2 linked regions of the Schizosaccharomyces pombe genome follow. The protein of the gene in region 1 purifies or fractionates together with the protein of each later gene. This does not show direct contact. Each region holds a gene or a part of one and is shown in the gene's direction. Other genes may lie near its edges.

Region 1 (6,729 bases):
AATCACACAAAAATATTTAATTTAATCATTTGAAGCTGATAATATGGAAAAATCTGGTGGAATACGTGAAGAGAGTTCTGAAAAAACTTTTTCGGACTTTAATTTAGATCCTAGATTGCAAAGAGCCATTCATAAATGTGAATTTGAAAAACCTACTTCAGTCCAAAGCGAAACAATCCCTTTAGCATTAGAAGGAAAAGACTTGGTAGCTCAAGCAAGAACTGGTTCTGGTAAGACGGCTGCTTATTTGATTCCCATTTTGGAATTACTGTTGAAGCAAAAACAAATCGATGAAAATCAACGTGGAATTTTTGCTTTGCTTTTAGTTCCTACAAGAGAATTGGCTCAACAAGTATACAATGTATTGGAAAAACTTACTGCTTTTTGCAGCAAGCATATTAGATTTATCAATGTTGCGACGAATAGCTCTGATACCGTACAACGTCCTCTTCTTCTCGATCTTCCTGATATTGTAATTGCAACACCTAGTCGTTGTGTTGTTCATGTCGCATCTGGTGTACTTCCATTGGATAAGTTAAAATTCCTTGTAATCGATGAAGCCGATTTAATGCTCTCTTTTGGATATAACGAAGACATGAAAACCCTTAGTAGGTCCCTTCCCCGTGGTACTCAATCCTTCTTAATGTCTGCCACACTTTCCAAGAACATTGCATCCTTACAAAAGTTAGTTTGTCGGAATCCGTTTATCTTAGCAGTAAAGGATAAAGAAGCAAGTGGAAAGTTAACTCAGTACGTTGTTAAATGCTCTGAGCAAGACAAGTTTTTGCTAGCGTACATCCTTCTCAAACTCAGATTAATTAAAGGAAAAATCTTGATTTTTGTGAACGAAATAAACCGATGCTACCGACTAAAACTTTTTTTGGAGCAGTTTGGTCTGAAGAGCTTAGTGCTCAACTCTGAGCTTCCTGTAAACTCCCGTTTACACATCTTAGAACAATATAATAAAGGCTTGTATCAAATCATTATTGCTACTGATGAAAGTGGAATGATGGGTGAAATAGAAGAATTGGAAAATAATGTTGATTTTGTCGAAGAAGAAGTAATTTCTACTGATCAGCCAACTTTAGATAAAATGAAGGATCAGGAGAATGCAGATGTCAATGATGAATCCATTTTAGCTGCTGCAAAGGACAAATCCAAGAAAAAGAAAAGAGTTAAACAAGATAAGGAGTATGGTGTTGCTCGTGGTCTTGATTTTGAAAATGTGGCTTGTGTTCTAAATTTTGATATGCCTAGTAACACAAAATCTTATATCCATCGAATCGGCAGAACAGCAAGAGCTGGAAAACCTGGAACCGCTATGTCTTTTGTAGTGCCCAAATCAGAGGTTGGCAAACATAAGCCTACGAGTCTGGAATCCTGTAAAAAAGATGAGTCCGTTTTACGTCGCTTAGAAAAAAAGCAAATTAGCCTACAACCTTACTCATTTGATAAGAATCAAATTGATGCTTTCCGCTATCGTATGGAAGATGCTCTTCGTGCTGTTACTACCGTTGCTGTTTCAGCCGCAAGAGCTGCTGAATTGAAACAGGAATTACTTATTTCAGAGAAGTTGAAATCTTACTTTGCTGAAAATCCAGATGAGTTACTATCATTAACTCACGATACTGTTTCCAGTGTTCGCCTTGGTCACACCCAGAGACATCTCCGTCATGTTCCTGAATATTTATTACCAAAAGGAATGCAAGCCGTTAACAAGGACATTGGCTTTGTACCATTTAAAAAGAACAATAGGCGAAAGGTATTTAAATCTAGAAAGAATCCTAAGCATCGGCACGACCCTTTACGCTCTATGAAGCGTAAATCTTAAAGTTTTTACGGTAAGATGTGGTTATCAAATGATTATGAAATGTGCATTCTGTTCTTTCTTTTGGGAAATTATAATAAAATATTGGTCTGTTAAATTTTTAGTTTAGGAATTATGGGTTATACAATTAAAGGGTTTATAAAATTGCGGTGTTTAAGTGGTAGAGCTTCAATAAAATTTCTCACTGTTTCACCTTTCTGTAATTTTACCGACTGAACCTGCTTTTGAATTGACTTAACTTGCAAGAATAATCAAAATTAGTAAGTTCTGTTTAATATTAATTTTTCCTGCCTAGATTTTGTAGAGTTTATAGTATTCGTATGTACGTTCTCATTAGGCTTATTTTTAAATAAATATTTGTTAATGTATAAGAAATTTACAATTTTTTTTCATATTCTGTCAATACTTGAGATAACAGAATTAATTTACCGTTTTTAAAAATTCTCTTATCCTCCCATTTGAACAACGCAATTTTCCATATTGAGCTGGACTTGTTGACATCGACAAAAGAGACTTCATTTTATATGGATTCTCTGTCGGAAAGTTCTACTTCTTCATATCACGGAAAAAGACCGCGGTCCTTGAGCGAGGAATCGCAAAGCTCTTCCAACATGGATGATATTTCACAAAAATCAATATCTTTGGGTGATGCTTCAGAAATATCAAAGAACCTTCCTTCTATTGCAGAACAAAAGCAGTTAATAGGCGAGTTGGTAAACAATCAACCCGAACTTGAGTTGGGACAGGTTGACAATTACATTCTTTCGTATAGTTGGTATGAACGACTCTGCTCGTATTTGGCAGAGGATGGTCCCTTTCCTGGACCGGTAGATCAAGAAGATATTGCTGATTTAGAAACTGGAACGTTGAAGCCGGATTTGCAAGAAGAGATTGATTTTACCATCATTTCTCGAGATGTATGGGATTTATTGGTTCGCTGGTATGGACTAAAAGGACCCGAATTTCCAAGGGAAACTGTAAACCTGGGCTCAGAGTCGCATCCTCATTTGGTAGTTGAAGTTTACCCACCAATCTTTTCATTAACACTGTTGAGCACCAATGCTGTGGACGCGAATGAGTCTCATAAGCCTAAAAAAATATCTCTTTCCTCAAAAAGTACTTTAGAGGATCTATTGGAAGGGGTTAAATATACCCTTTCTCTCCCCAGTGATCAGTTTAGGTTATGGAGAGTTGACACGGATCAGCCTTTGCATAGAACTATCGATCCCTCATCTTTTATAAAAATCAATTCGAAAGAAATTATCGATTTTTTAGAAAAATCCAAGACTTTGGTAGAACTGGGAATGGACAGTAGCTGTTCATTAGTGGCTGAATGCATGATAAATGAAACATGGCCAGTAGACCGTGCGCTTCGCCTACAATTCTTAATTCAGCAGAGAAATAATCAATCATCTAATGAAGAACAAAAACAAGAAAAAAGGGTTCCAGGAACCTGTGGTCTTAGCAACCTTGGAAATACTTGTTATATGAATTCCGCACTCCAATGTTTAACCCACACTCGTGAACTGCGTGACTTTTTTACATCAGATGAGTGGAAAAATCAAGTAAATGAGTCAAATCCCCTTGGTATGGGTGGCCAAGTTGCCAGTATATTTGCATCTCTTATAAAATCTTTATATTCTCCAGAACATTCCTCTTTCGCTCCAAGGCAATTTAAAGCAACTATTGGTAAATTCAATCATTCTTTTTTGGGATATGGCCAACAGGATTCTCAAGAGTTTTTAGCTTTTCTTCTAGATGGACTACATGAAGATTTGAACAGAATCTATCAAAAGCCGTATACCTCTAAACCCGACTTGTATGAAGTGGACGAAGAGAAAATAAAAAATACTGCTGAGGAGTGCTGGAGATTACATAAACTAAGGAATGACTCTCTTATTGTAGATTTATTTCAAGGCATGTATCGTAGTACCCTTGTGTGCCCTGTTTGTAACACCGTCTCGATTACCTTTGATCCTTTCATGGATCTTACCCTTCCATTACCTGTCAAGCAAGTATGGTCGCATACTGTTACCTTTATTCCAGCTGATACAAATCTTACTCCATTAGCTATTGAGGTAGTACTCGAGAGTAAGGCGGCGACGATTGAAGACCTTGTCAAATATGTCGCAGAAAAATCTGGATGTAGCGATTACAGGAAAATATTGGTTACTGAAACTTATAAGGGAAGGTTCTATAGGTTCCTTACACAACTTTCCAAATCTTTGTTAATGGAGATTTCTGAGGAAGATGAAATTTATCTTTATGAGTTAGAGAGACCGTACGAAGATGGATCTGATGACATTTTGGTTCCTGTCTATCATATATCTGATGATTCTACAAATTCGGCAAACTCCTATATGAGTTCACGCGATTTTGGTCACCCATTTGTCCTGCAATTGTCAGACAATGAAGTTACTGATGCTTCCTTTATAAGTGAAAAGCTCAAACTTAAATATCAGCAATTTACAACTTTAAAAAACTTAAAAAATATTGACTCGTTGGAGTCTTTGGAACTTGGCCACGAAGATGAACAAGTGCAAAAAGGTCCGTTGGATGTTGATATGGATCATAGTCAGACACCATTGTTTGAAATGAGAGTTTTCCATGATCGGTTTGAAAAAATCCCTACCGGTTGGAACATGAGTGTTTCTAACTTGCCTTTGTTAACCGAACGGGATAAAAAGGATTTAGAATCGACGGTCGATCCTTTAGATGCTCATTCAATTGAGGAAGAAGATGACAGTGAGTTCAAAGACGTTGCACCCGGTTCATATCCTGAGCCTTCGAAGAGTAACGAAAACACCAAGTTGACCGCAAAGGAAAATGATCGTTTGCTTATTCAGGGTGACTTGCTGGTGTGTGAGTGGCCTGAAAAATCCTATCAATTTGTATTTAGTGTGGCACCTTCTTCTCCTCAAATGGGACGTTCATTGTGGCTAGAATCAAAAACAATATTGTCGGACAAAAAGGATGATTCTGAAGATTCTCGTACCATTACTTTGAATGATTGTTTAGATGAGTTCGAAAAAACGGAGCAACTGGGTGAAGAAGATCCTTGGTACTGTCCTACATGCAAAGAATTTCGACAGGCTAGTAAACAAATGGAAATTTGGAGATGCCCCGAAATTTTGATTTTCCATTTGAAGAGATTTAGCAGTGAAAGAAGGTTTAGGGATAAAATTGACGACTTAGTTGAATTCCCTATTGACAATTTAGATATGTCTATGCGGACGGGTAGCTATAAATTGTCCGAAAAAGAAAATCCTAAATTAATTTATGAGCTTTATGCTGTCGATAATCACTATGGCGGTCTTGGAGGCGGTCATTACACAGCATTTGCTAAAAATCCCGACAATGGACAATTTTATTGTTTTGATGATTCACGGGTCACTCCTGTATGTCCTGAAGAAACTGTCACCTCAGCTGCATATCTGTTGTTTTATCGCCGAAAAACAAGCTAAAATGAAATTTTCAATACTAGTACTTACTGCATCAATCTTTGATATGCTAATTAAAAAACGGTTCTTGTCAATGTGACTAAAAACTTGCAGTTTGTGGTTAGGCACAATTTATTGTCGTTTATCTAAATAAAAATTCCATTATGTTCTAATACCTTTGAGCCGAACTTATTACTTATTTTACGCTAAGGATTTTTTGTATCATTAAGTAGACAACAGTTCCTTTATAATTCGACAAAGTATCGGTATTACATTTCTCTCAGCTACTAAAAAGAATTTTTGTGCTGACAATTGTTTCAAACTACTTAAAGCATTTTTTAAAGCGCCTGCGTGTTGGAGATTATTTAAGATCTATGTTTTAATGAGGATTAGTCTTCGATTTTTTTGTTCAAAAATTCAGCTATTTTTGGTCTTTAATAAGTGCTTTAGATTTCAAATTACTTTTATTGGAGTATTTCAGTTTACTCTTGGGAAACCAGTTTGTTTGTATTTGCCTGCTTTGAAATTTCACTCTCTTAGCTAATAGATTTTTTGATCAAATGCTTTAGATTGAATGTTAATTAACGAAGTAAAATTTAGAAAAATGAGCTCAGATTATGCAGATTCCACAATTAGCTGCTCATATATATTAATTCGAGTACAATCAATACTTTATTCAAATGCTATCAAGAAGTATGAAGTTATAAGTAGAATATCAAAAAATAACCAAAAATTGTATTTAGATAGTTTTCCACTTGTGTATCAATCAGTATCATAACGATTCTGCTTATTCACATTACCCTTAGTTACCACCATCCTTTGATATATAAGCAAAAGTCACTATATGTTAGTTAAAAAAGTTTCTCTATTTTTACTAAAGTTAAAATAATATTTATTTGAAAATCCAAAGAAATTATACAGAATGGGATTCGATTTTGGGAAAATGAAAGAGACTTTTCAGGTCGGCATCATAGGATTTGGCGATATGGGTCGCTTGTATGCAGAGTACATCAGTAAGGCAGGATGGAGGTAAGTAAATAATTTTTGTTCTACAATCTACAATTAGCTCTCCTTTTCAAAGTGCCTTTAGGGACTTTTTCTATTAGCACCTTCTAACATCATAAATAGAGTAAATGTTTGTGATCGACCGGAAAATTACGAATCAATACAAGCGACTTATGGAAATGGGGGATATACCGTTTTAAAGGATGGATTTCAAGTTTCACGAACGAGTGACTACATTCTGTACAGTGTTGAAGCTGAACATATTGATAAAGTTGTTGCTCTATATGGGCCTGCAACTAAAGTTGGAGCGATTGTCGGAGGTCAAACATCATGTAAGGCTCCAGAGATGAATGCATTTGAAAAATACTTGCCTGAGGATGTGGACATCATATCTTGTCATTCCATGCATGGTCCTAAAGTGAACCCTAAGTCTCAACCTCTTGTCATAATACGACA
Region 2 (5,870 bases), on another chromosome or scaffold:
TTGTTAAAACATATATAACGCCAGTCCCGTAGACAAGTAATGCAAACAGCAGGGAGAAGCAAAGTCGATAGTTGTTTTTTATAGCGAGTTCATCATTAGTATTTTTTGTGAAGACAAGCTTAACGAGTCTCCAGAGAAAATTATAGACAATAATTACAAGTAGTAAGATTGGCATATTTTCACGAAACGCGGAATACTGAAAATCAGCGGAATCGACTTTTTGTCCAAACAACCACCCAGGCTTTAAATATTTTTCAATGTTTTTGTAATTGGGATGTTTTGCTGACGCCTAGTTAGTTGCTTACTTTATTTCAAATTGATAAATAGAAAAGGCTGATTAAAGCTTTTGACACTTACGAGAACTAACATAATGAATTTTAAAACAAGCAATTGTTAGAATCGATAGAATGACAGAAAAGTAAAAAATAAATTCTATGGAACCAAAAGCGCTCTTTTCCGGAACTGCGCTTCGAACGGTCAAACGTGAAGATGAAGATGGATGACTTGAACCAGAAGTCGAACTTAACCGTGAACTTTTAGAATTGGGTCTTTCAGTATCTTTGGTCGAAGTCTCAAGAACATCAAATCGAAATAAACGTAACATCCTAGAAGTCTCCTACCAACAGCAAAGAAGATGGTCGGTTCTCAAAATATCATAGAGTAAACAAACCTAGTGGTGTTCACTAGCAAAATGCAAGACACTGCGTAATTTACACTTTGTGTCAGCTTCATAGTCCGTAAATAATTTTAAGAGTAAGGTAGAGAGAGTATGATGAAATCAATTATATTTTTAAAAATAATAAATTCAGTTTGTATTGTTTATTGGAATGAATAAAATAGTCAGCACTATACAAAACGCGCTATTAAAATAGAAATATTAATTAAGCATCTTTAAAGACTAAATTTTGATTTTGGTAAATTAGCAACTTATATATTGAAAAATGTTTTACATTCGTTTGCAATAATTCTGTATAGCCCATTTAGATCTCTAAAATCGTTAATTTTTATAATTAATTAATTAATTTATTTTTTTTTGGATATGATTTGCTCAATGATTGCTAAATTATCACATCTAGTCTAAAAATTCAAAAGATAATTTCAAGTTAACAAGCTCATATAATAATTAAATGTTCTATTAGAACGTCGTATATATTGACCAAAGTATTACAAAAATAAATAAAAATAATATATACTATAGAAATTAAAATAAACAATGACTATATCTTGCAATTTATATGCTCCTAAACCCAATTTGATCGCTCTCCTAGTTCATTTGGAAGAATTGGAAGAAGATGATTTTGCTGGTCGAATTTTAAATTGAGGGGGCTTAAATTCTACAACATTGCCATTGATTACTTGACCATAGCCTTTTTTAAAAGTTTCCCCTTTCTTAGCTAAAATGTCTTCAATCGTCACCCGTTCTTCAGAGAATATTTTTAAATGATCAGCCATCAAGTGCCGATTTTTGCACTTAGGACATTGAACTAAAACGGTCCCATTATGGTAGGCCTGCTTGGAGAAATTGTGATTTGACCTAGTGTTACATCTTTCATTTGGTTAGTATCCTTCAATGAAATTATAAATACTTACACGGTACAAGTAAAAGAAACATTATAAGTCGGTTTAGGTTGTAATTGATCAGCATCTGATTTTACAGAGGGAACACCACTTGCAAGATCTTTAGCATCGCTTTGAGTGAAGCGTTTGCATTGCCAATTAGAAATGTTTCTCACATTCGGGGAACAGAAAAGTAAACTTGAAACCTTTACCTTGTTTGAAAAATTTTTTAACTGCAAATTTCGTAAACAGAATTTTTGAGTATACCGTGCAAAGCTCCACATTATGTTTGAAAAATTTTTGTGTTCGGAGAATGTTGTTCGTAGTTAGTACCTTCTACCACCTTTTGTACCATTACTTCCGTCTGTGCTGGCGTTTCTTTATGCAAACTCATATGCCCATATATTTAGCTTTTTTGTTGAAACTTAACTTTAAATTCCATTATTAATGCAGCGGTCAGCGAAGTTAAAAATTCGAGCGCCACGAAAAGTAAGTGTACCTGATGCATGCTGTCCTTATTATTTTCCTCACATACTGACATTTAGTTTTCTGCTAACCAAGTAGACTTTGCTACACATTGGGAAGTCTTGCAGCGAGCTATTGGGGATATATTTCAGAAAAGCACATCTCAATTATCGTTTGAAGAGTTGTATAGAAATGCATATATACTTGTTCTACATAAGTATGGAGAAAAGCTTTATAATCATGTACAGGATGTTATTAGATCGAGGCTTAAAGAAGAAACTGTTCCAGCTATTTACAAAAACTATGACGCTTCCTTATTAGGGAATGCTCTATTGGATATTAGAAAAAATGATTCCTATTCTACTTCATGGTCGAGATCATTGGAAGCGGCTCATAGATTTTTATCGTCTTTAGTTAATTCCTGGAAGGATCACATTGTTTCAATGCAAATGATATCTAGTGTATTAAAATATTTGGACAAGGTTTATTCAAAATCTGCAGACAAAGTTCCTGTTAATGAAAACGGAATATATATCTTTCGTGAAGTTGTTTTGTTAAATAGTTTTGAAATTGGAGAGAAATGTGTCGAAACTATTCTAATTCTGGTTTATCTTGAACGTAAAGGGAATACAATAAATCGACCCTTAATAAATGACTGCTTAGATATGCTAAACTCTTTGCCTTCAGAAAACAAAAAGGAAACTCTTTATGATGTTTTATTTGCTCCAAAGTTTTTATCTTACACAAGAAATTTCTATGAAATAGAATCATCAACAGTCATCGGCGTATTTGGAGTTGTGGAGTATCTGAAAAAAGCAGAGAAAAGATTTGAGGAAGAAAAGGAGAGGTCCAAGAATTACCTGTTCACAAAAATAGCTAGCCCCCTTCTATCCGTTGTTGAAGATGAGCTTTTGAGTAAACATTTGGACGATTTGCTTGAAAATCAATCAACTGGCTTTTTCTCGATGATCGACTCTTCAAACTTCGAGGGTCTTCAATTGGTTTACGAAAGCTTTTCTAGAGTGGAACTTGGCGTGAAGTCTTTAAAAAAATACTTGGCGAAATATGTAGCGCATCATGGAAAATTAATCAATGAAACTACTAGCCAAGCGCTTGAAGGAAAGATGGCTGTTGGTCGTCTATCATCTAATGCTACAATGGCAACATTATGGGTTCAAAAAGTTTTGGCCTTATGGGATAGACTAAATACAATTATAAGTACTACTATGGATGCTGATCGGTCTATCTTGAACTCTTTATCAGATGCTTTTGTTACGTTCGTAGACGGATATACCCGAGCCCCCGAGTACATTTCACTATTCATTGATGACAATCTGAAAAAAGATGCTAGAAAAGCAATAGAAGGCTCTATTGAAGCAACACTTCAAAATTCTGTTACGTTATTTCGGTTTATTTCAGAAAAAGATGTTTTTGAAAAATATTACAAAACACACCTTGCAAAAAGGTATGCTTTAATTGTTTTTACTGTCTTTAACACTTTTAGGTTGTTGAATAATCGATCAATATCTTCCGATGCAGAGCTCGGAATGATCAGTAGGCTGAAACAAGAAGCTGGTAATGTTTTTACTCAAAAGCTCGAAGGAATGTTTAATGGTAAGTATTCAGACTTTAGCAAGTTTTTTTGCGTTCCCTTATTAATGCTTAGATATGAATCTTTCACAAGAATTGTTACAGGAGTACAAACATAATTCTGCGTTACAGTCGGCCAAGGTTAGTGGAAATTTTTATTGATAATCCTTTATACTAACAGTTAGCCTGCTTTGGACTTAAACGTTTCAATTTTGGCTTCTACATTTTGGCCCATCGATTTATCGCCTCACAAAATTAAATGTAACTTTCCGAAAGTTCTCCTGGCTCAGATAGATCAATTTACGGATTTTTATTTATCGAAACATACGGGGAGAAAATTATTGTGGTATCCTTCTATGGTATAGTAAACTTTTATTTGCTTGTTGCGTCACACTAACAATCCTATTTAGGGAAGTGCTGATGTCCGTGTTAATTTCAAAGACAGAAAATATGACTTGAATGTATCGACTATTGCATCTGTTATTCTATTGCTTTTCCAAGACCTAAAAGAAAATCAGTGTTTAATTTTTGAGGAGATTTTGGAAAAAACCAATATAGAAGTTGGGGATTTGAAGCGCAATCTTCAGTCCCTTGCTTGTGCAAAATACAAGATTTTGCTAAAGGATCCAAAAGGAAGGGAGGTGAATGCAGGTGACAAGTTTTATTTCAATGAGAACTTTGTTTCAAATCTCGCCCGGATTAAAATATCGACAGTTGCTCAGACTCGTGTTGAGGATGATAGTGAGAGAAAACGTACATTAGAGAAGGTAGACGAGTCAAGGAAGCATCAAGCAGATGCCTGTATTGTTAGAGTGATGAAGTATGTCTTTTTCCTTTTTTTTTTTTTTCAAACATTTTTACTAACAGTAAATTAAGGGATCGCAAAGTGTGCGAACACAATCAGCTGATGGCAGAGGTTACAAGACAGTTAAACCCTCGTTTCCACCCTAGTCCGATGATGATTAAGCGACGAATTGAAGCTTTAATAGAGCGGGAGTACCTACAAAGACAAGCCGATAATGGTCGCATTTATGAATATTTAGCATAGCAGCCTTAACTGTTACACGAAATGCAATATTCGTATACGAGAAATCATGTTTAAATGGAAAGATACCAATTTGTTCAAGATGATATCTAGCAAAAGCTTTGTGATTATAATGACACTCATGAATTTTACACCAACTTCCTTTTTATTTTTGAAAAAAAGAAAATTTTAAGTAATGCTATAAGAAGGTTTGAAAACAGGTAGATTATATTCCAAATCAATCAAAATTTGATACATTAATTCTGCGAGCAGATAGTAGAGTAATGAGTTTAAATTACATTGTTCCATATACATTGTACAAAAAGACCAAAACAGAAAAACCCTCAGTTTAAAATAGATTAAGGTATTTGATCAACGATAGATGGGAAGTGTTAACCTAAAAAATTATTATGGGAGGAAGCGAATTCGCCGTAAATACACTATCCTACACAGTATGCTTTTGATGATGACTCTACTAATAACATCGAAAATACCAGAGCAAGTAAAGCTCCTTATAATCTTTAAGGTGTTAATCAAATAATAAAGCTATGTATTTGATTTAGTATTGAAACACCTGGTTGTTTACATTAAGAATATTCTTCTTTCCTAACGGACTACGCTATCCTCTTTAGCAATCTCGGAAGAACCCCTAAAAATATCTACCGTTCAATGCTATTCTGTATATTCTCCGCTTAATTCTATTTGTTTAGGAAATTGTATAAATAACCTCAAATATCTTAACGAACCCCACTTGTTCGCCAATTTCATTTAATTGGTTCCGCGTACCACACTTCCTTTTAACCACCAAACACTTTTAAGTATCCGCAAGGTTGCCAAAGGTTGATTACAATCTCTTACTTTAAGCTAAGATACAAAGCTCTTTTTGATATCCTACTCGTCTTGCAGAGAACCTACATATTCTCTTTTTGTGACTAAACGTGTCTTGAACTCTTTAAAATAAGTGGCCTTTGCTTTTGAAATTTTAAAGATCTTTTTCTTTTCCTACGTAACTCCAAGTGTCAAGGAATTGCCATCTTTTCACTTCTTCCTTTCTTTTGTGTATCACTACTGAAGTTATCAAAATGTCCTTGCACGACGCTTACCATTGGCCTTCTCGTACACCTAGTCGTAAGGGTTCAAATATCAAATTGAACAAAACTTTACAAGATCATTTGGATGAACTGGAAGAACAATTCACCATTCCCACTGAACTTTTACATCGCGTTACCGATCG

What was found. The genes of interacting proteins can lie anywhere in the genome.
Region 2: the proteins of ubp12 (region 1) and cul3 purify together in Schizosaccharomyces pombe (affinity purification with western blotting, with the first as the bait; one study listed by BioGRID). This does not show direct contact.

The regions. Positions count from the first base shown.
Region 1 is NC_003421.2:2,328,031-2,334,759, reverse strand, and holds ubp12 (CSN-associated deubiquitinating enzyme Ubp12), read left to right. Parts: upstream 1-2,288; 5' UTR 2,289-2,352; coding exon 2,353-5,292; 3' UTR 5,293-5,891; downstream 5,892-6,729. Other genes in the region: ATP-dependent RNA helicase Dbp9, read left to right, coding at 44-1,831; NADP-dependent prephenate dehydrogenase Tyr1, read left to right, coding at 6,212-6,297, 6,397-6,729.
Region 2 is NC_003424.3:484,750-490,619, reverse strand, and holds cul3 (cullin 3), read left to right. Parts: upstream 1-1,905; 5' UTR 1,906-2,004; coding exon 2,005-2,046; intron 2,047-2,102; coding exon 2,103-3,487; intron 3,488-3,526; coding exon 3,527-3,636; exon of another isoform or gene 3,637-3,688; coding exon 3,689-3,753; exon of another isoform or gene 3,754-3,797; coding exon 3,798-3,971; exon of another isoform or gene 3,972-4,022; coding exon 4,023-4,432; exon of another isoform or gene 4,433-4,488; coding exon 4,489-4,660; 3' UTR 4,661-4,897; downstream 4,898-5,870. Other genes in the region: gup1 (MBOAT family O-acyltransferase), read right to left, coding at 1-282, 358-604; TIM23 translocase complex subunit Tim15, read right to left, coding at 1,270-1,546, 1,591-1,841; hxk1 (hexokinase 1), read left to right, coding at 5,719-5,870. UniProt on the Schizosaccharomyces pombe protein: Probable core component of multiple cullin-RING-based BC3B (BTB-CUL3-BTB) E3 ubiquitin-protein ligase complexes which mediate the ubiquitination and subsequent proteasomal degradation of target proteins.